Lepisosteus oculatus: one gene and its partners. The protein of the gene in region 1 binds, or shares a complex with, the protein of each later gene. Links are inferred from orthologs where the notes say so. Each region holds a gene or a part of one and is shown in the gene's direction. Other genes may lie near its edges. The genes, in order: tubulin alpha-1A chain, pierce1 and cfap276.

Evidence for each region.
Region 2: the proteins of tubulin alpha-1A chain (region 1) and pierce1 are in contact, whole or in part, in a cryo-EM structure (PDB 7UNG), measured with the Homo sapiens proteins. The link is inferred for Lepisosteus oculatus from reciprocal best matches to the Homo sapiens genes TUBA1A and PIERCE1. Residues at the interface, in NP_001257328.1 of Homo sapiens: Met1, Arg2, Gln15, Asn18, Ala19, Glu22, Cys25, Leu26, Glu27, His28, Gly29, Ile30, Gln31, Pro32, Asp33, Met36, Pro37, Asp39, Lys40, Asp46, Asp47, Ser48, Asn50, Glu77, Gly81, Thr82, Tyr83, Tyr224, Thr225, Asn228; in NP_001041730.1 of Homo sapiens: Tyr28, Pro35, Gly36, Arg37, Phe38, Trp43, Phe44, Arg45, Gly46, Tyr47, Arg48, Thr58, Ser59, Asn60, Gln61, Ala62, Tyr63, Gly64, Arg66, His71, Glu72, Pro74, Phe77, Tyr78, Pro79, Asn80, Ser81, Asn82, Lys83.
Region 3: the proteins of tubulin alpha-1A chain (region 1) and cfap276 are in contact, whole or in part, in a cryo-EM structure (PDB 7UNG), measured with the Homo sapiens proteins. The link is inferred for Lepisosteus oculatus from reciprocal best matches to the Homo sapiens genes TUBA1A and CFAP276. Residues at the interface, in NP_001257328.1 of Homo sapiens: Lys112, Glu113, Ile115, Asp116, Leu117, Leu119, Asp120, Arg123, Lys124, Asp127, Arg156, Ser158, Val159, Asp160, Gly162, Lys163, Leu195, Glu196, His197, Ser198, Asp199, Tyr262, Pro263, Arg264, Trp346, Lys430, Asp431, Glu434, Val435, Val437; in NP_001231954.1 of Homo sapiens: Pro43, Trp44, Arg46, Leu47, Asn48, Thr50, Pro51, Thr52, Ile53, Thr54, Ser55, Arg57, Arg58, Ala60, Tyr62, Asp64, Ile67, Pro68, Lys69, Asp70, Asp71, Phe74, Arg75, Lys90, Ser91, Leu94, Leu95, Asn96, Lys98, Thr99.

Annotation. Positions count from the first base shown.
Region 1 is NC_090696.1:15,178,750-15,186,266, forward strand, and holds the start of tubulin alpha-1A chain, read left to right. Parts: upstream 1-4,479; 5' UTR 4,480-4,597; coding exon 4,598-4,600; intron 4,601-6,673; coding exon 6,674-6,896; intron 6,897-6,998; coding exon 6,999-7,147; intron 7,148-7,265; coding exon 7,266-7,517. UniProt on the Homo sapiens protein: Tubulin is the major constituent of microtubules, a cylinder consisting of laterally associated linear protofilaments composed of alpha- and beta-tubulin heterodimers.
Region 2 is NC_090719.1:5,633,405-5,640,619, forward strand, and holds pierce1 (piercer of microtubule wall 2 protein), read left to right. Parts: upstream 1-4,110; 5' UTR 4,111-4,219; coding exon 4,220-4,344; intron 4,345-4,475; coding exon 4,476-4,554; intron 4,555-5,604; coding exon 5,605-5,793; 3' UTR 5,794-6,992; downstream 6,993-7,215. Other genes in the region: mrps2 (small ribosomal subunit protein uS2m), read right to left, coding at 1,029-1,566, 2,180-2,309, 2,566-2,688, 3,125-3,149. UniProt on the Homo sapiens protein: Microtubule inner protein involved in the attachment of outer dynein arms (ODAs) to dynein-decorated doublet microtubules (DMTs) in cilia axoneme, which is required for motile cilia beating.
Region 3 is NC_090700.1:30,600,121-30,607,482, forward strand, and holds the start of cfap276 (cilia- and flagella-associated protein 276), read left to right. Parts: upstream 1-4,355; 5' UTR 4,356-4,412; coding exon 4,413-4,493; intron 4,494-4,792; coding exon 4,793-4,909; intron 4,910-5,475; coding exon 5,476-5,591; intron 5,592-7,362. Other genes in the region: elapor1 (endosome/lysosome-associated apoptosis and autophagy regulator 1), read right to left, coding at 1,874-2,008. UniProt on the Homo sapiens protein: Microtubule inner protein (MIP) part of the dynein-decorated doublet microtubules (DMTs) in cilia axoneme, which is required for motile cilia beating. May play an important role for the maintenance of myelin-axon integrity.

The DNA of each region.
Region 1 (7,517 bases):
GAGTTGCCAATGCATCAGTTGTGATTAAACAGACAGCTGCCCCCAAAACAAAGCCAGTCTCTATAGATTTCTTTCCATGACACTGACACTTCTATAGACACCTTTTCAGGGACACTGATAAAGAAATGACATTCTTCAGGAAGGCAGCGACAAGACCGCTGTATTGGCAGACTGAATGTCAGTTATGGGCCAACACCACTGACAGACTCCGACTGGTTTTCCTTCTCTCCACCATTGCCGACTCCAGGGCCAGAAGCCCAGAAGCTCTGGCTCTGGGATTGACTGAAATCCACAGCTGAGCAAGGAGGACTGAGGGATAACATAACATCACTTTATTAGCCCTATACAATTTCTTGCATTAGGAATTTGTCTTTTTGCATACCCCAGCTTGCTCTCCATGAGTACCCCTGGAGCAGTTGGGGTTAAGGGCCTTGCTCAGGGGCCCAACGGAGTAGGATTCCTCTGCTGGCCGCAGGATTTGAACCAGCAACCTTCCAGCCACAGGCACAGATCCTTAGCCACAGAGCCACCACTCCGCCCTTATCACTCAGTGATAATGAGTGACCACTGAGTATCAATCACACAGCCAGCTCCTGTCCGGGAACCCTTTTACACAAGGCAGGTTTCCGTCTAAATGCAGACATTTTAAAAAACATTTTGCACAATTAACAAATCAGAAGGTGAATCCGTGGTTGGTATGTACTGTCAGTTAGTGACATTTTTGGCTTCAACAGATTTACAAGACATAACACGTGAAGGGTGATCTATGAGACCCGCTGGACTGTGTCTCTGCAAGGCCAGTGCTGATGCCATCTTTGAATTAGGCTGTGAGAGGGAGAGAGCACAGTAACGCCAACGCCACAAGCTCAGCAATGCCTGGCAACAGAAGGGCATATTACAAGACACCCACTGACATGCCAGACAGCTTCAGCTTGTACGGTTTGTAGAAACACCATGCAATTAGTAACAGCTGTGGGACAACAAGGTACAAAATAAATGAAACTGTGAATTCCAAACATGAAAACAATCACTTTAAAAGCCCAGATCTGGTGTGTGACTGGAGAGGGTCAGGAGTATGTCAGGCTATGTCTTGGGCGTTCTTTTCCTTTCCTATTCCTCTGCGCTACGTGTGAAACATGTCACAGGACTCCTGTCCCTTCTCGCTGGTGTAGGATGGTCAATGTGAGGAGCTCTGCCAGGGTGAGGGCGCGATGGGAGTGTCTTTATTTCCTCCGCCGAAGCTGCCCCCACCTCTCCTCATCTGCACTGTCATTCAATATCGGCCACGTGACCCACCGACTGCTAAAAGGGGGCTTTATGAAGCCTGATGTAGCATCTCCTGGGCTCTTACTGGTATCCTAGCAACTGAGCTATTCATTGCCTAGCAACTACAGGATACTGAGAAGGGGGCTAGGGGGTAGCCTTTCTCCTTCTTTGACTTTGTGTGTGCTGGGGCAAGATGGTCCAGACTGGCAGCCGGCCCTCTGGGTGCTGAAGAGATGGGATGTCATCTGCTTTGAGTAGTGTGTTCCAGACCCCCACAACCTTTAGTGTAAAGAGCTGTCTCCTGTTCTCGGGCGTAAATACACTGCCCCTTAGCTTCCAGAGCCTTTTCAGCAGCTCTGTGTGGTGCAATAGTCAATCAAGATGGGAAAAGACACCCTAAGTAGAAATGGCAGCGGGGAGTGGCTTATGGTAGAGTGATAAAACACAGTGATGAAAAGCAGAAATATTATAATAATCCAGATGAAGTCTGATACTTGTACATGATGCTGCTTAGCTTCAGGGCTTTCATATACAGCACGGGCTGACATGGCCTCCGCAACGTTGGTTTAAATTACTTCCAACTGAAATATTAATGTCTGCATAAATATTTCATCTGTATTGAGGGCTTTCCTAAAGACAAATTGCACCCCGAATCGCACAGTCATTGCAATCTACAAACTGCAGTTCTTTCTGCGATATTCAGGTCGGATTAACCAGTACTTTTCTCCCCAAAGGCGAGACTGGACAGTTCGTTCTAGGGCAAGGGTGGTGTGAAGTACAACTAAGCCAGTGGTACAGCAGTTTTTATTTTTTAGCTCTAAAAAACGTATATTGGAAACATGCAGTGAGCATTACACGTTTGGCTCTCACCCCAGCACATGGGGTGTCTTTGTTACCCGGCACTCGGTAGACACCCGGGAGCAGAGCCGCCACGGGGCCCGCGCTCGCTTCACACTCGGCGCCTTTGTGGCACGGCCGCGCGCCGCCATGGGCGTGCACCTGCGGCGCAGACTCCGCGCTTCTTGCAGAAACATTTCATCAGGAAAACCGCTGTAAAGGGTCCTTTTATAGAAACGTGATCTATATATATAGGGTTTTTACAATCGATGCTGACTGCTGACTTCTGCTTGCTTCAAGGGCAAGATAATGGAGCGCACGTGACGGCTAACGTACGGAAGAGCAGATTTTTATATCGCGACTTTTCTTTTTAATTTAGTGAAACCGATGCATTATAATAGATTTATTATGAAAGAAGAATACGGGAGTGTCTCTAATGAAAAATTGTTGAATTATTAAAAATTATAAACATTAAAAGCTATGGAAATTGGAGCCCAGTCAGAGACAGCGAGGTTTCACGGGAACAAAGGATGGGTAGCCAACTAAACACAGCCATGGGCGTCGCCGAATGTATGAGACTGTTACACCGCACGTTTATCGGGAACAGCAATCCGACAGAGCATGCAGTCATCACGTACAGCGCGCTGTCGCTTAGTCATCATAATTTAATACTTAAGCCCTTCGATCGCCTGTATAATTCAGCTGGTGTGCAGGCTCTTCCTGCGTGCTCCTCCGGCGCGGGCTGTCGGTTGCCCGGTCCTGTGGGAGCCGCAGGTGCGAGGGTGCCGGCTCTGTAGTGGGGGCGGGGCGGGCGCCCCAGATGAAAGCAGATGGCGCGTGGAGGAAGCCGCCTGAAGCCTGGAGCTAATATGCGGATACTGTGGGGGAGGCAACACAGCACATCTTCGGGTCCTGAAATATATATGCACTTAACTAAAGGTTTTATCATTCAGCTTTCTAAAATCGCTAAAACTATACAGATTTTTTTTTAATGAGGTAAGAAACTGCTTCACACCACCAATGTGCAGCAGTGGAGCAGTGGTTCAGGAGAGTCCCCATTACCTGTAGAGCGCTTTGAGTGGAGTGTCCATAAAAGTGCTATATAAGTGTAAGCAATTATTATTATTATTATAAAATGCGCCCAGGATTAGGGCCTACAAAATCTGTATCTGCTGGACTTGTGTGGCTCACAGCCGATGACAAAGTGCATCCAGCAGAACTCACACACATTACACACATTAAATGGGCGTATTTCTTTAATCTTAGATCATCTGTTTTCAGAGAGAGATTCCTGTTAAAAACAATAATCATCTCAGGCCTGCCTTCTGTCAGGCTAAGTGTCTCTGTCAGCCGGGAGCAGATCAAGTCACCGATGGCCGAGTGGGTTTAGTTCAGCGGTGGGTCAGTATGGCTGCGAGGGGCTGGCTACCAGTCCAGAGTGCAGTCGCGCCCCGAGACCCCTGATATCGGGAGCAGCTCGGGTCCTGCGAACGTTGCCCGGAAAGGGTGCTTTTCTGATTACGGGTGGACCTCGTCATCCCTCACGGGAGTCGATTTTCAGCCCCCCACACTAACCCAGAAGGTGACCCCAGGCGGAAGAGGGGCTTGTCCTCTAACATCACCTTTCACCCCCCGCCAGATTAAAGATAACACTGATCTTTTCTTATGATGCATTTTTAAAAAATACTAATGCTTCACGACTTGACACAGTTGAATTACTTCTGTAGGTACTGGGACCCTCCAAGTATTAATTACATATCTCAATTGATAGACTTTCTAATCAGTCATGAACTATGCGTCACGGTCCTGTAGTAATAGTATCACAATTAATTAGTTCAGGTGGGGAGCTGCGTCAGCATGTGCAGGCTGCAAAGGAACAAGTAAAGGTTTATTCCACACTGAAAAGAGAAGAGAGAACATACAACGTTTCGGCTGTGGAGCCAGAAGGAGCCAAAAAGCTCCACAGCCGAAACGTTGTGTTTTCTCTCTTCTCTTTTCAGCATGGATTAAACCTATTGTTCACAATTAATTATACACTTTGCTGATATAAAATATGGCAGAATATCCCCTAAATGCATCAATCCATGTGTATCACTAGTCCTCTTCAGAGATATGCCTCCTCCATTAGTGTTGCTAGACCATGATGAACTGATGCTGTTAATGCTTTACCCAAGTGAGCGACAGATAACTGTTTTCTCTATTGTCCGGACAAGGTGGGGGTCGGCAGGAGGGGCTTGTCCGGCCGGGGTGGTGCCTTAACCAATGGGAAATCAGATCCGCCGAGGTCTCCGGGCAGACAGCAGACACGTCGCCCAATGATAAAATCGCAGGCGCAGTCGCCACGGCAACGCATGTATATAATAAGCCGTTCACACCCATGTGCTTCACGTTCTCTTGCATCGACCTCCTTGCTGTCGGGTTGTGAGAAGACTCTCTGAACGGGCTCTTTCCCCCTCGCTCGCCTGCCAGACAAGAACTCCAGACGGCATAGAAAATGGTAAGGCGAGGGGTTTCACATTTCGGAACAATGGGGTTCCTTTGCTACCTTGCGTGTTGAAAGGAAAATGGTAGTCTGAGCTGTAGAAAGAAAGAGCAGCACTGTGGAGTTTTCTGGAGTGCGCGGCGAGGCTGGCTGTCTTGTCGCTGTAACTTGTCACCCTGCTCAGAGGGGTCCGCTTCATGTGCTGAACAGACGTGGAAGGGGTGGTGGGGGCGGGATTTTTGGAAGGGTAAAGCATTTTCACGACTAGGGCAGTTGCTTTTGTAGAAAATGCATTATAGAAAAAATCCAAATAACGAGATGACGGGGAAACAAGAGTATTTTGACGTACTGCCAGCGGCACACGGAGCTGTCTGAAATTGTGCGATGCCGGAACCCCTCGCCTCTAAGGCTCCAGTAACAATAGACCAGTGTTGGCCTCACTGGCGAGGACTGGGCTATGTGGTCCGAGAAACCCCGTCTCAGACAAAGGCGCACTTGACAGGAATGCGCTGTGAGCGGAATAAATTATCTGGGACACATCTGGGTGTTCCCCGCCTCTCGCAGTAAGACGTCCTGTCACTTCGGATTTTACAACCCCCACGCCCGTCCGTTTCTTGGATAAATCACAGAAATGGGAACGGACAGGTGTGTGTTTTCTATTTTTTTTTAAGTTTGAAGTCGAATGGATGGAGCTGTCGAGGACAACAGAAATGCGAGCCGACTTGGCACGCACTTCATCCGTCAGCGGCAGCGCGGCGCCTGAAAAAAAGACCGAAAGCCGGTTTGTTTTCATGTGAAGTGCTCTCCAGAGCACTAAAATGTCACACAGCTTCCGCTGCGCGTTGTCAGGGCGGCTGTCCGTGTGTCCGTTTCGGACCCCGGGGAGTGCTGTGGCCGGCGCCGAGATGGAGCAGAACCCCAGCGCGCGCCGCCTGGCTCGGGCGCGCGGCGCTCCGAACGCGCCGTCCTTTGTCTGGCGCGCTCTCACCCCCACCCATTATGTGCGTGAGCTCGCGCCAGCCGCCCCGAGCGCCGCGCAGGCTGGATCGTTCCTCCAGAGCTCCAAGCCTTGCACACAGCCAGCCAGCCAGCCAGCGAGCGCAGACTGGTACCCAAACCTTCGTGTTCGACTCTTTCAAGTATTAAGGGTCTTCTGCAGTTCGGCTCCGCTCTCTTGCTGTGCTTTTGTTAACCGGGTCAAGCAATGATTCCATGAAGTAAAAGCAAGGCTCTTTGTCTTGGATGTACAGTAGCATAACTGCCCGACAGCGGTATACATTTTCAGTGAAAAGAGTTGTGGTCCACACTAATATGAAGAGAGTAGCCCACATGGTAACACCTGCTTGTAGACTGTCAAGAGGGCAGGAGGCCTGCTGGAGTTACGATGGAGGTTTTTCCTCAAAGGGCTCATTATTGTGCTGCTCACTAGAGCACAATTCAGTACTGTGGCTGGGAAGGAGAAAAACGAGAAGATGCCTCTTTTTTTATAAAAGAAAACAAAGGATTTAGGTCAAACTACTCGGCAGAAAATCAACTGGGGAAAAAGGGCCAGGCTTTGTAAAGGTCTGTAACTATTAAAGAAAAACGTATTAAGATGGAATCAGTACAGAAATACAGATGAGTTGTTGAAAAACGGCTCTTGCAAGAAGGCCAATCACTAATAAAGAAAAAATAACAGCAGGAAATAATGCTTGGTAATTTGTCAGTAAATACTGGACTGGATTATAAATCAGCCTTTTCTTACACTATTTAAAAGTCCTAAGGCGTCCCTTCTTAAAGTTTAAAGTAAACAGATAAGCGTTTACATTAAAAGGTGAGATTTCTATGGATTTGTCTTTCTGTGCAGAACAGCAGCCTGATCAAAATATTTTAAATACTGAAATAGTGTTAAAATAGTCTAACCGAGGCAGTTAAATCAATGTCATTGATCAAGTAAATTAGAGAGGAAATCAAGATTGATGCATTGCAGGTGGTTGACACTGTATCCAAGCTGAGGTCACAGAAATGAGTAAGTTACAGGATTCTTCCTCTTCTGATCTTCAGCCAGCACAGTTCCTCCTGTTAACTGATCTCTTTCTCTCTTCACAGCGTGAGTGCATCTCCATCCATGTCGGCCAGGCTGGTGTCCAGATTGGCAATGCCTGCTGGGAGCTCTACTGCCTGGAGCACGGGATCCAGCCGGATGGCCAGATGCCCAGTGACAAGACCATCGGAGGCGGCGACGACTCCTTCAACACCTTCTTCAGCGAGACCGGAGCGGGCAAGCACGTCCCGAGAGCTGTCTTCGTAGACCTGGAGCCCACAGTCATCGGTAAGCTCTGCAGGCTGTGGAGTGGAGGGGGATCAGGGCTGTTCCTCTTCCTCCCTGCTCCAGAGCCCCTGAGCTCACAGCCCTTCACCCGTCTCTCCCCAGATGAGGTGCGCACTGGAACCTACCGCCAGCTGTTCCACCCTGAGCAGCTCATCACTGGCAAGGAGGATGCTGCCAACAACTACGCCCGTGGGCACTACACCATCGGCAAAGAGATCATCGACCTGGTGCTGGACAGGATCCGCAAACTGGTGGGTATCTGAATGAATGTTGAACAGCCCAAACCACCCGTGTTAAGAATTAAAAAGATTGAATGGAGAGCACGTCTGTCTTCTGCAGTAGTCAACCAGATGCATCTTCTCTCTCCAGGCTGACCAGTGCACAGGTCTGCAGGGCTTCCTGGTCTTCCACAGCTTTGGAGGTGGTACCGGTTCTGGTTTCACCTCTCTGCTGATGGAACGCCTGTCTGTCGACTATGGCAAGAAGTCCAAGCTGGAGTTCTCCATCTACCCAGCTCCCCAGGTGTCCACAGCTGTGGTGGAGCCCTACAACTCCATCCTGACCACCCACACCACCCTGGAGCACTCCGACTGTGCCTTCATGGTCGACAACGAGGCCATT
Region 2 (7,215 bases), on another chromosome or scaffold:
CGGAGGTACTTCATTAAATTTTATTAACACAATGAACAATGTTAACTTCATCTCCAATAATAATGTTGATGAAATCACACAACTATTCTAATGCAGTGGTCAGACAGGCTCTTGATGAAATTGCCCCGTTAAAGACTAAGGTAGTCAAAGCCACTAGTCACTCTCCATGGTATAATGATCACACACAATCCCTTAAACAGGAGTGCCGCAAACTAGAGTGCAAATGGAGGTCTACTGGTCTACAAGTATTCAAGTCAGAATGGATAACAATATAAGAAAGACCTATATAGAGCTTGTTTGGTCTACTACTCTGAACTTATTGAAACCAATAAAATTAACCCTCGCTACCTATTTAAGACAATAGCTTATCTTACAAATAAGACCGATTCTATAGTTTTTGGTTCCTCTCCTCCATTGTCTTCTGGTCTTTTCTGTTCTGTATTCACATGTATGCTTTGTTGAGTGCCTTGTTGCAACCTTGTTCTGAAAGGCACTATATAAATATTAATTGAATTATCAAAAAAGATTTCACAATATTAATGTACAGCCTTTCCATTGAAATTTAACCAGAGCTATTTTTAAAATTCAAATAGTTTTAAGCCATCAGATCCAGTCATACATCCACCTGAAAAGTTACATGTGGGGTACTAACCATGAGAAACAGATACTGTACTGTCATAAAGGTTCAAATATTTTTTATGGTACTTTGTTGCCTTTCACAGTCTTTACAACATTAGATGCAGCTCTTAAGGCTGCTGTTTTCCAAGTTTGAATAAATGGCAGACAATTTAGCTTTGTGGACCATTTATTGATTGCAGAACACCAGTTATGAAACCATAAACAGAAATACAAAAGTGAAGTATTCTGGATTCCTAAAGAAACTTTCTGAAAGGAACATTGCAAACAAAAAAAGAAAGAATATCACATTATTAAAAAACATACTTATATGCAGAAAGGGGGGACAATGTACATAGATGCAAAGGGCAATGCCAATGTCAATTGATACAATCTAAAAAACAATTCATAGATCATGGACTTTGATTACTCAGACTATGGAGGAGTTCCATTTGCCTCCTTTTGTCCTTGGCTCTGTTGATAGTCATTCTGAAGAGCTTGCAGTAAAGCTCTATACTTGCTGGCGTATCATCATTCCCAGGGACGGGGTATGTGATCAGACTGGGATTGCAGTTGGAGTCCACAATGCCCAATGTAGGGATGTTCATCTTGGCTGCGTCACGGATGGCCACATGTTGCTGAAAGACATTGTTGAGTGTGCTGAGGAAAATAATGACGTCAGGCAGCCTCACACCCTTCCCATACTGGACTGGGGCATTAGTAAGGAGCCCCCCCTGCCAGTAACGGGTGTGAGCATACTCGCCACAGTCCCTTGCCATTTTCTCGATCAGGTGGCTGAACTGTCGGTTGCGGCTGATAAACAGAATCACCCCCCCACGATATGCCACATGCGCAGTGAAATTAAGTGCCTGCTGTAGGTGCTCCACTGTTTGGTCGAGATCAATGATGTCCTGCTCCAGACGACAGCCAAATAAATAAGGTTCCATCAGCCTGTGGAAAAAAAACACAGGAAAGTGGTGAAGAACATTCTACACTGCAAAAAGATTTCAGTTTCTGACTTTCTCAAGAATATTATTTTAAATATAATGCAACTAAAAATGTTTTAAAATGATAAGTCTTTTTTTATAATTATTTCACAGAACCCATAACCTACACAAGTATTCCAAAAGTAATGGTACAGATACACAATTTTGAACATTAGTTTGATAATTGTTTGTCATTTTTTAAAGCAGCAAAGTTTGTTGACTGTCAGACTGTAACCCTTTTGCAGCAAAAACAGGATTGGTTTCAGTTTGTAGTTTAGATGGGCCAACTCTTGGATCCAGAAAAACTTGACATTTTAAGTGAAAAATAGAAACTAACAAGGAAAAGAGTAAGCAACATGTTGCCTTGTCCAAGTAAATTAAGGATTGCTGTTAAACAAACACATGAAAGGCTAGAAGATAATCTTGTTTGACTTTCAATAAAGGTACAGTACAACCTCTCAGAAATATAAAACGGAATCACTGAGATATACCTGGAACCCCTGTAAATGTCAAAGTAAAGGTGACTTCAAATATATAAATCCAGCTAAGGCTACTCCTGAAGGATTCATTTTCATTACCTGTGTCTACAGCCTCTTTTGTGACCCAAGTGAACTCTGGCCTCAAAAAGATCCTTCAGAGAGAACAGCTCTGATACACGAAAGAAGTCAGGATGTTTCAGGGGCTCTGTTAATAATTTCTCATTTCCAGCTACAGAAAACACCAAAAAGGAGAAAAACAGACAATTTATGTAAGGCCAGTTTCAATAACTATTATTGATACCATTAATCTGGGTGTACAACATTTCATTATTTTAGCAATTATCTAATGACACCAGTTTTCATTTTTTCAGCATGTAAACATTATAGTTCTAAATTTATATATGTTTTTTTTTCCATAAAAAGGATCATATATTGTACTCTGTGTCGAGGGAATCGTAACAACAAGCGTTGAGAAATCGGCTTACCTGAACTGTCAGCATGAGTCTGGTGAATCTGCAGAGCTGCAGTACCATATAGACGACCTAAGATACCCGATGACCCAGGCGCCACCCCACCCGCTAGGCCGGGACTCCCGAGCCTGGGAAAAGCTGAAAGACAAAAAACAGTTTCAATCATCAGTTCTTATTCTAATTAATACTTACATAAAGTAAGCTTAAATGTTTGTATGAAACACATATTGTGTGTGCCCAGTTACTGTGCTTTGCGTTAAATATATTACAATTTACAATAACGCTTTGTTATTTCATATTCGTACAAAACTTAATTGATCAACAGAATATGGTTTAGTGTTCAAGGTTACAAGATGTAATACATTGCTCAAGGGAAAGGTTCGGATTTACACTTACATGCCCTATAATAAAGTCACATTACAACTACGTCGTACTGCGACGTTAAAAAGTATATTATCATATCCTTTAAACACATTTAAGTACACACCTGAAAAAACGTCTATTCTTTTGTGTTTGAAAGAGGATTACAATTTGAACATTGTCGTTGCTACAAATGAACACCAATTAAACTCACCTTTTCTCAGTAAACCTGCAGCCATGCCTACTTATTCCTCCTTGTAGAGGTCAGAGGGTATTTTCAAAAAACTTTATTAAAATCAAGTGATTTTTTTAAGTCCAGCGTCTCCAGAGTTATGCTGTCCTCTACTGGTGTGGCTATGAATAGCCATCTCTATAAACTCAGCAGTTGCAAAAATGTGATTACCGTTTGAGCATCGTATACCATATACATAGGAACAAGTAATAGGTTTATTCCATGCTGAAAAAAAGAAGAAAGAAAACACAACGTTTCGGCCGTGGAGCCTTTTTCAGGTTGCTCACATCTGAAAAAGGCTCCACGGCCGAAACGTTGTTTTGTCTTTCTTCTTTTTTTCAGCATGGAATAAACCTACTTGTTCCTTTGCAGCCTACGCATGCTGACGCAGCTACCCACCTGAACTACCATATATATCAATTAACACGCGCCTTAGTGCCCCTGTCTTCTTAGTAATATGATAAATATGTTTCCTTGTTAATTGTGTATCGTAGATACAAGAATGTTATAACGACACTTCCTACTCATTAAAAATAGGTTGTTAATACGCACATCATCACATCATTGTATTTTATTATATTTGTGTTGTATGACGAAAGAGATCAGCTAATTCTTAACGTCATCCGTTGAACGGTTTTATATACTTACTAACAGCTAACACTAAAGGTGATATATGTCATAATAGTTGCCAGTTTCTCGAGGATTCACGGAATGCTTTGGATTAAATACCTTTATTAAGGTAATCCTTCTAAGGATTTGGCGCACTTAAAATTACCAGCGAGGGTCTATATTAATATTTATGTTTTGCACTATGCTACCTTGCTAAGGAAATGAATGAATCCTGCTTTGCAATTAACATGGTATTGACGACTCCTCTATCAAGTTTTATCTCTCGGGTTCAAACAGTGTGGACAATCTTGTGGCGATCCATTGAATGTATCACTTACCAATTATCCTACGTTACCAGGTTACTGTGTCTTAGCAACCGATTGTTTGTCAAGGAGAACTTGAACTGCATATTTCCTGGTGGACGAAGGCTCCCACAACTTTCCATCGTTTGTTATCACTGAGCAAAACATGGAAAATACAACACACACAGTGGAAGAAGCTAACAGAGTCTCCATCAAAACGAGCGATGTGTACAAAGTGCAAAAAAATCTGCCGAAAAGATTTGATAACCCCGACTGGTTCCAAGGGTACAGGTGAGCCCGTGTTCTTGATACTTACATTTTTAAATAGTGTAATTTAAATGCTTGTACTTAGCTAATAAAGTGAAAAGTAAGAGTTTTAAAGCACTCATTTATAGTTTCCATACTGTAACAATCCATTTCAGAGAGAAGCCACGTAACCCGCTATACAGGACAACGAATCAAATTTACGGGGGCAAGAGACCCACTGTACATGAAATGCCAGTAAGTTGAAAATTACCGTCCTTTATCAATCTGATTGTCAGACATATATTTATTAAAGTATTCAGCATTGCTTTTACTATTCAAATAATGTTTTGTCTGAAGAAGCACCGTTTAATTCAGAGTAACCTTATTTCAGAAGCATGACTAGTATAAAGACATACACAGTACTTCTCTGTTCTGGTAAGCTGTAGATTGGTATCTGGCAAAGGTCTCGACTGATCAATTATCATATTTCGCCTGGTGTAAGAGATTCAAAAATAGTTTATTATTATGGTCTACTATGAGATTTAATCAACAGCAAACTTGGCACAGCTTGGTGAGGTTATCTAATACATGGATATTAAACAGATAATAAACAGAATGAATGCAAAACTGAGATTTCAGTTGATCTTTATATAGGCAGGCCTGCTCCTTAAAATGTAGATTTAAACATTTGAATGTTTGCTATAAACTATTCGTGCCAGAAATAACATTTAGCATAATGTACCAATTTTATATAAAATAGAACCCTGCATTTTATTTTATCTCTAAATGAACCAGGTAAGTAAATTAAGAATAAATTCTGATTTGCAATGACCATCTGAAGACCCATGTAAACAGCTGGGCACTTAGCATTTTTAATGAAAAACTTTGCTCGAGCATACAAATATTTTAAAAAATTAGAACAGCAGGCACAAACTCTTTTACAAAAAGGAATCTGAAACAAGCTAATCAGCCATGTTTCTGGAGTCAGTAGTCTAGCTTCCTTTCAGAAATGGTTGAATGAGATACATGGACCAATAAGATACTAGCAACCAAACAAGCTTGACGAGCTGAATAATATCCGCTTATTTATAGCCATTTTCATGTTCTTATAGCAGCATCCTACCCATGGTTGGAATTTGTGACAATTCCCACTCGAGATTCCTAACCAATACCCTGTATTTCCAGATAACAATAAGCTTTTTCAATACACTTTCAAAATTTAACCCTGAGTTAAATATGGTAATGTGTGTTAAGTTTATATTTGAAATCTACATCTAAGAAACCTCTCTTTCTTTTTCCTAATAGACCACTTTTAATGGGAGTACTCGGCAGTTTACAGAATACCTAAGTAAATGTGGAATGTACAAAGACAATGGCTTCAACACATCAACTGAGAAAAGTTATGTGACTGGACCTAACAACCTCATTACATTTCATGACAGACTGAATTTTCAAACTTCCTATAATATGAATGGACCTTCTCACACTGGGTAATTCATTCAAAACTGCTAGTAACACAATTAAACATTTATTCAGTGATATTACTGACCTTCTCAGATTTCAGTCATATAATGGGTATTCAATGCGATGTTTTAAAATAATTTTTGTTTCCCTTTTAATTTAGTTCCAATGGAAATGCCATGTGCTAATAAAAAGTCTCACATGCTGAAATAAAATATCCTTTATTTTATATTACATAAAAGTGATGGTAAACATTGGAACAGTTCTGTAAAAACACTTGGAAGGCAATTACTGTGAATTGTAGATCTAAGAAACAACATCTGTATCTGTTTACAGAGACATCACAACATTCTCCAAATAAGTTCCTCTAAACTTATTTTTGTTAACAGCAAGTTAGAACAGATGGTTTTGAAAAACATCTTGAAATTGTCTGTCACAGCAAATTTTAAACTGCAGTCTTATCAAAAACACAATAATAAATACAAATGTTAAATATGAAAAAAGTAAACCAGAACTCACAATTTTAGTTAAAGGTATCACAGCAATTAAGGCAGAAGTAATTAACATAACTCCAAAACCCTTTGAAAATATATATGATATCCCTTAATTATGCTATTTTGTCATATGCTGCAGTTTGCAGTTTTTGGTAGGATTTCAGAAAACAGTTATTTCAAGTACAATAGAAACCCAAGCAACTGTTGGGGACTATTAAATTCTCTAATGGAATCTGAGATTACAAATACAAAAAACCTCTGAAGATGAGGAGCAAGTTCAACTTCATATTCAAAATATAAACAATGTTTATATATTTTTTTCTAAGTAAACAGGTGTTTTACAACGTTTTAAATGAAAATGCCTGGGAGGAGTAAACTTGGATATGTAAACTGGAATTCATTGCCTTTTGTTTTTTATGTGCTGACTGATTCAAGATTTTAGTCATATCTGGACAATTACCCTACCAGGGACAGAATACCTTACACAATTGAAGAATTTGTTGTTAATTTTTTGTTCTCTAGATGTGATGCTAGTTGGTTTAGAAGATTCTATAGGTAATGGAACAGACCAGTTAGGAGTTTTGATATTTATTTTTCTAACAAACTAATAGTGCTAATATTTTTCCTTTTTATTAAGATCCATCTTTTATTTTATCCAGGTATATTAATTGTATCCTCCATGTTCAGCACAACAATTGCTGTTATTTATTAAAACCAGTTTCATTAAAACAATCAAAATGATGTGTGGTTGATTTATGCTAAACAAAATCTATAACATTATTCCTTCCCCAGTGTGCTTCTCCTAAAAAACAATTTAGAAACAATCAACATCGCAGTTAACACAGAGTCTGATGAATGCTCATATAAATATAAAAATGTAGCATGTAAAAGCAAATTATAAGCCTATGGTGATAGACCTATGTGGTCTAACAGTCTGACTGTAAAACATTAATTGGCATAT
Region 3 (7,362 bases), on another chromosome or scaffold:
GACCCTCAAGTCCAGGACTGAACCCAGCACGTCATGACTCATCACTGTGGCTCCTACTATTCACACATCTAACAGAAATGCATTACTAATAGCCTGCCGGGATACGCTCTGGTTCCAACGCGACCATGAACTGGGAGAAGAAGTTAGAAAATGCACTGATGGAAGTTACTAATAAGGGCCACGGCCACCTGGATCTTATCCAACAAATGTAGGATAAAAGGCAGGAATACACTTTGGATGGGACCAGTCCAGCACAGAGCATGCATCCACACAGGCAGGATTTAGAGACCCTAATTAAACTTGATGAGGTTTGATGAGGGGAAGCTCACACAAACACAGGGTGAACATGCAAACTCCACACAGACAGCACCTCAGGAACTGAACCCAGGGCCACCACAGTACAAGGCAGCAATGCTAACCACTGAGCCCAGCAGTACCATTATCACATAAGCATTAATACAAGATGAGCTCAAACTGATTTAAACATAGAAAGAAAAACTATGGCTCCTCAGCCTTCTAATGAAGAAGGCACAACAGCCAAAAAATCTGGGTTCTTTATTTCTACTTTTCAGTATGGAATTGACCTCTGCTGGTTATTTTGCAGGCTGTAGGGTAACGCAGAACCCCACTGTAACCTCTTCAGAATTTCAGTTACAGATGTGGCACCCTGGATCCAAACCAAGGTTATAAGTTAATTCCTAAAACAAACATATGTAAATTATAAAGACTTAAAAAATACCTATTCCAATTCATGTATCCAATGACTCAGATTGTTTTAAGGGTAGTTTAGATTCTCTTGCAGATTAATCGTTTTTTTCACATACCCTGCGAGCAAACCGATTTACAGAACTGTATGTATTTATAGATCTGTCAGTCCCACTGTAGTTTTAAATTGCCCCACTGTTACACTACTTATTACAAACTAATTTGAGATGGTACTACACATCTATTTCTAAGTACCTACTACACAGGTACTTAGAAATAGAAAGAAATAAAGAAATAGAAACTGATCGTTTGCTGTATTGTGTTTCCCTTAGGGAGTCCTCTTCGAAAAGGCGCTTTGCACAAAAGACTGCTGTGAGTTTTAGGATTTAGAATTTAGAATTTTCATTTGCAGAAAACGTGTTTTGTTCCATTTTTTGAAAGAATTATAAGGAAGGAAAATATAACATCTTTAACTTCACTCTGGTTAATGTCAAACTGCACTCCAACTGAAGGTCCATCTGACAACGCGCGTACACCTGCCTCGCACCATCTGTTTCTTTGGAGAACACATTCATTAAAGGCAATTTCACTGTAATCCTCGATTTTGTATGGGTTACTAAAATTAATCATGATTAATATATAGTTAATAAAGGTTTAATAGAGATCGTGGTACCCTTTTCTCGAATAAGAAATAGAGATTCTTTAAAGCATTTCTCACAAAGAGAAATCTATTGTGAAACAAGAACTATTTTTCTCAGGAGGTTTGAAAGCGGTAAGGCTTTAAAATTTGTCGACAGCCTGTCTTTCGAGACACTGCATGGGCTCTTTAAACAGACTACTGTACCGCCAGTGTTTTCAGACCTAGGATGCACATACATGCTGCCTAAAGATGATACCTGTTGATTATACTTGATTAAAATAAAATGCAAAACCACAGCGACAGCATATGGCTCTGCATACACCTGTCCAGGTGTCTCATCAATTTCCTCAGGCACTTGAGTAAACGAATATGGAAAATGACTATTTCAACAGGTGTTTTTTTTTCCACGTACAAAACGACAGCCCTGTAAAAGCTGGGGTAGTGTTTGAGCCCCAAAGACCCAGTCTTTCAGAGCCGGTTTTTATATATCTAACCCATTCAGAGCGTTCGTCTCGGATGGGTCCTTACCTCCTTACACATGGGCAGCTGTCTCTCCTGCGCTGTCCCCCCTGGGACAGACACAATCCACACAGAGAGGTAGCTGGAGACCAGGAGGCAGGTCGGAAGACTCCACGTCTTTGAAAATAGACCGTTTAAGCCCATCCTGTCTGTCTTCACTGAGGTACTAGGCGCTGTGCCTGGGATTCTAGTGAGAGTGACAGCCGATGAAAGCGATGGGAAGATACTGATGTCCCAGCGCTCCCGGATGCTCTTCCTACTGACTGAGCGCCTGTTTAATAGCCATCATGGCTCATTATATACACACCTCGGCACTGCGGCTCTCTGCCGCCACTCGGCGGACACGGGAAGTGCCGAAGCCGCAGGCAGCACAGGTGGGAATGAGGCGTTTCCACCTTTTCAGGCGCGCCACCTACTGTGCCCGGATTTACCACATAACAATAGGCAACCCGCCTTGTAGTCAATCTCTCATATTTTAATTGGTAAGACTTAATTTTACCAATTGACTGTTGCTACAGTCTGCCACTGTACTTTACAATACATTTGCTTGTTATGTTTCTAAAAATGCCAATCTTATTTTCACGAATCAAGAAGTAACTAAAATGATCCATTAATACATTTCCGTCCCTCCATTTTCTAACCGATTAACGGTCGCGGGGGAGCCAGAGCCAGGTAGAACCCGGACAGGACGCCAGCCCATCTAGGGGCACACACAGACACTCACACCAGTGCCAGTTTCCCAGAAGCCAATCAACCTTCCAGTAATTTTTGGACCGTGGGTGGAAACCAGAGCACCGGAGGAAACATACAAAAGTCACACAGAAATCACCCCATTTTCTGAACTGAACCCCGGGCCCCAGCACTGCAGCCGGAACACTAACCACTGCGCTACAGTTCCGCCGCTAAAACCGGATTAATTCGCTTGTCAGAATCCCAAGTGTCATTTCCTCGATGCCTAAGCAGCTTCTGATGTGCGTTTAATGGGTCAGTGTTGCGCTATGGGACATTGACCTGAAACTCTGCCCATCCTGACAGTGTACTGGGGACACAAACCACAGCGACCACCTGACAGTATAGACCCAGGGCTCTCGGGCCTCCCAGGGCAGAAACAGAAATTAAGCAGTCGCTCTCAAAGTCCTACTAAAAACCGCTTCAGACTTCCAGGCGCCCACTCTTCAAATTCTCCACTGAGGCCCTGTCTGAGCTAACAGCACACACACCCGTCGGAATCAATAGCTCCATTCAAAATAAACCGAAGACTCTGTGCTAACTGCAATTCAAAACTCGTGTTTGTGTTAACAAGGACAGGTGTAGATCTCAAATACGTTTCACAATACCCGGGGTTTACAGCAGGTTCTCCACCCAAGACAGCCTATTTTGTAGTTAGTTTTAGTTTCTTAAATCCACGGTCTAAAAAAATATGACAGGATTACAGATTAAGATTAGCGTTTGTAACATCCTCTACCAGCAGGTTCGTTAGCACAAGAGCTCCCAGATGGGATCCTGTGTGTTTGTCTGTCTATTTTATAGGAATGTTACACTCGCTAGGTTTTAAAACAAACCCCAGGTCCAGAATCAACCCATCTTCCCTTTATAAACGGTGCCGATATTGAAAAAACAAAACAAAACATTGGTTTGAATTTATTTCTCTGCTGAGAAGGCTTCACAGCCGAAACTTTGTGTCTCTTTCCCGCATTTTCAGCATGGAATAAACTTTAACCTGTTCCTTTGCGTCTTACATATGGTGACGCAGCTACCTACTCGTTTATTAATGATGGTCTCCTGTTAATAAGAAAGAAACTGCATCATTAATCCAGTTACTACTGGTTTAAATGTAACTGGTTGGTTAGTTTAAATTGGTTTAGATGTAGAAATTAGTTAATGTGTAAATAAATGCATTGCTGTGTATAGAATTACATATCGAAAGGTATATTACAAAATCCATGTCTAAACCGACATACACGTATCTCAATACTTAGTTATCAACGCATTTATTTCTTAATTGCTCATTTGTGTATTTTTATCTTCCCGGGCCTATATAGTCAGGTATACAATGTAAGCTCCTGTTACTGTTCATAAGGCTCTGAACAGTCTGGCTTCATCACACTTCTCTTAATTCCTTCATGTTTCTGTCACTGCTCCATTGTTATGGAATGCCCTTCCTCCGACTCTTCGAGAGGCAAATTCATTGACTCTTTCTCAAATCTAAACTTAAAACTCACCTTTTTACTAGGACCTAAATCTGATTGGTTTACAGTTTATCCAAAAATGTATGTTCCTGCTTCATTTTATTTACTTCTTATTGTATTGTTTTCTCTTTTTATCTCTATCATTATGTACAGCGTCCTTGGGTTTGGAAAGTCGCTTAATAAATAAAAGTTCTTATTAATCCCCTCCGCATCGAGAAGAGATGACGTTCGACGGGTCAAGTGACGTGTGAAAGTGACAAAGGACACGTCACAGTGGGTCTCCTAGCAACCCCAGTGGCCAGTGTACACAGTCTGAGTGTCCTGTAGGAAAAGTACAGAAAGTTCTGCCGCATCTAGAGATGCCACGATCTCGAGACCCCTTTCCGTACCCAAAATATGAAAACGACGACACCTTTATCGGTAAACCGAAGAACTGTCAGGTAAAACACAACGTGCAAACGTTTTTCGCTTTTTAATAATAAAAACCATATGTTCTCTGCACAACAATGAAATGCGTTGTATTAAGATAGGGTACATGTTGACAAAATAACTAAACATAATCGGTTTTTAATTTAATTGTCATAACAAATGTCTACAAAAACAAGTATATTTAATAGAAAAGCTTATTTCCAAAAAAAAATCATAGAAGGATCTGAAATTTGAACTTGTTTTACCAAAGGACTAATCTATACAGTGGGAGATAAAGTATTGACAGGCTCTCTCTACCTTGTTCCTTCAGAAGGTGCCCTACTCGAAACCCACTCACCTGGCACAGAACGAAGACCCCTGGAATCGTCTGAACGCCAGAGCTACACTGTCCAGCGCCAGAAGAGAGGTCCTGTATTTCGATCCAGAGGTAAGAATCACACACGTGCAGTCTGAATGAAAATATAGTCACATGAATGCATTTTGCATCATAGGATTTCATCCCGGATTAGTGTACCCTTCTGTGTGGAGTCTGCATGTTCATGTCTATGGCGGTTTCCTCCAGGTGCTACAGTTTTTAAAGACGTGTGGGGCTAGACTAACTCTTGGGTCTGTATAGAGCAGGAACACTTGTTTGAGCTACTGATGAACTAAACAAGTGAGACTACTTGAGGTGAACACTGGTCCTCAAGGGCTGGGAGATATTGTTCTGTTCCTGATGATCTCTGACTGACTGCTTTTTAAATTGATCATAAATTGCTCCCGGTCTTCATCCATTTATGATTTAAAGGCTGTAATATCTTCTGGATCCTTCGGTTAAGTGGTCTATAAATTGTGTGTATGGACAGTGCAATGCACTGATGTCCTGTCTAGGGTGAAAAACAAGACTTTCTGATCATGGATGGTTATCATGGTTACTAAAATGCTCAACCATGGGGCTGCACAAGCACAGCGATCAGCTTCTCTGAAAATGCATTTTCTGTCTTTGCCCCCTAGGTCCCGCAGGACAGGCTGGACTTCCAGCTGAAATCCTTGTACGACCACCACGAGGAGTTCCTGAAGGACAAGAACGAGACCCTGTACCAGAGAGAGACATTCACTGAAGACCACGGGTGAGATCACAGTGGCCAGGAGATCCAATCAGCCACCGACTGCGAGGTTTTAAGTGAGAAAAGTGGCACTTAACTAAAATCTATATTTTTTACATGCTTGTGTGCATCTCCTCTAGAGACTAATCATAAATTATAGCTAGGAGACAGGAAGAGGTGCAAGTGGGGCCAGCAGAGGGCGCTCACCCTCCAGTCTGTGTGAATCTTAATATCTCCAGTATAGTGATGGAGACCCGATACTGTAAAAAGGGTGTTGTCCTTTGGATGAGATGTAGCACAGACGTCCTGACTCTATGTGGTCATTAAACATCCCAGGGCATTTCTCAAAAAGTGTAGGGGTGTTATCCCGGTGTCCTGGCCAAATTTTCCATTGGCCTCCTAATAATTCCCATCTATGAATTGGCTTCAGCACTCTGTTCTCCTCCCCACTGATAGCTGGTGTGTGGGGAGGGTACTGGCACACTATAAATGCTGTCTCATCATTCAGGTGGGGCTGCATACTGGTGGTCGTGTAGGGGAGTCCCCATTACCTGTAAAGCTCTTTGAGTGGAGTGTCCCGAAAAGTGCTATATAATGTAAGCTATTATTATTATAATGTTGGTATAATAAAGTCAAAGACTAGTGCCAAAAGCCATAGTGGCAGCCCTGAAAAATGCTATAAGATAGCTTTCTGTGAGGCAGGGCAGATCAATCTGGCTTCTAATGTGCCGTTTTTATTCTAGCTGAATTCTTGTCCGCTTAATCAAATGTAGTGCATTCTGTATCCTGACCTTTTCATTTTCAGCTCTTCAGTGTTGGAAGGCTTCAAGCAATCTCTCACCATCTTACTAGAAACATGAGATCTTTGCTTTCAAGTTTTACAAGAGCTGAAACTGATTAAGGAAGGCTGACGGAGCAAATGATTAAACTGAGAGCCCATCGGGATGTTAAGCCAAACAGGGGTGTTAAACTGAGACAGGGATGTGCAATTCCATTCCCCAAAGGCAGGATCCCTGCAGCTTTTATGGGTCCTTATTCATTGGAAATGTATTATTTAGGGCAGTGGAAAGGCATGACTTTAATCAAAATAATTAATTAAATTCAATCCAATGAGAGGTGGAACAATAACCAAAACACTACGTGGCCCTTGAGGACTGGAGGTGCTCATCCTTCTTAGGTGTGGCAGCATTTCTGCTGTACCAGTTCTGTGAAGAACAAAGCTGAGGGAAAAAAGCAACATTCAGAGCACTAAACCTGCAAATTTAAGTCTTAGTACAACTACTCTTCAGAGATGCAAGTGAGTTGATGATTGATGTGGCAGACAGTCTTATTTGGCATGAACACTTTGCTCTTTCACAGTGAAGGAGTGCCTCCTATCCCACTCCCCCTCTCTTAGCTGAGGCTGAACCTGTGCCTGGTGTGAGCCTCTATTTGAGGATTTGAAAGATGGCCCTCGTTTCAGTATGAAGCCCCTCTGTTTTTTTAAGAATGATACACAAGTTTCCTTGTCCTCCTGGGTGAAGAAAAACTCATTGAAGAGAAATTAGTTCAGAAGCAGGACAGAACGATGGTAGAGTGATTAGCATTGCTGCCTAGCAATTCAATTCCTAGCTCAATTCCTGAACTGACATGTTGTCTGTGTGGAGTTTGTATGTTCTCTCTGTGTTCCTGTGGGTTTCCTCCGGGTGCTTTAGTTGCCTTCCACAGCCCCCAAAACGTACGGGTAAGTTAACGGGCTTCTGGACAAACTGGCCCTGGTGTGAGTGTGTTTGCGCCTTGTGTGTGTACCCTGTGA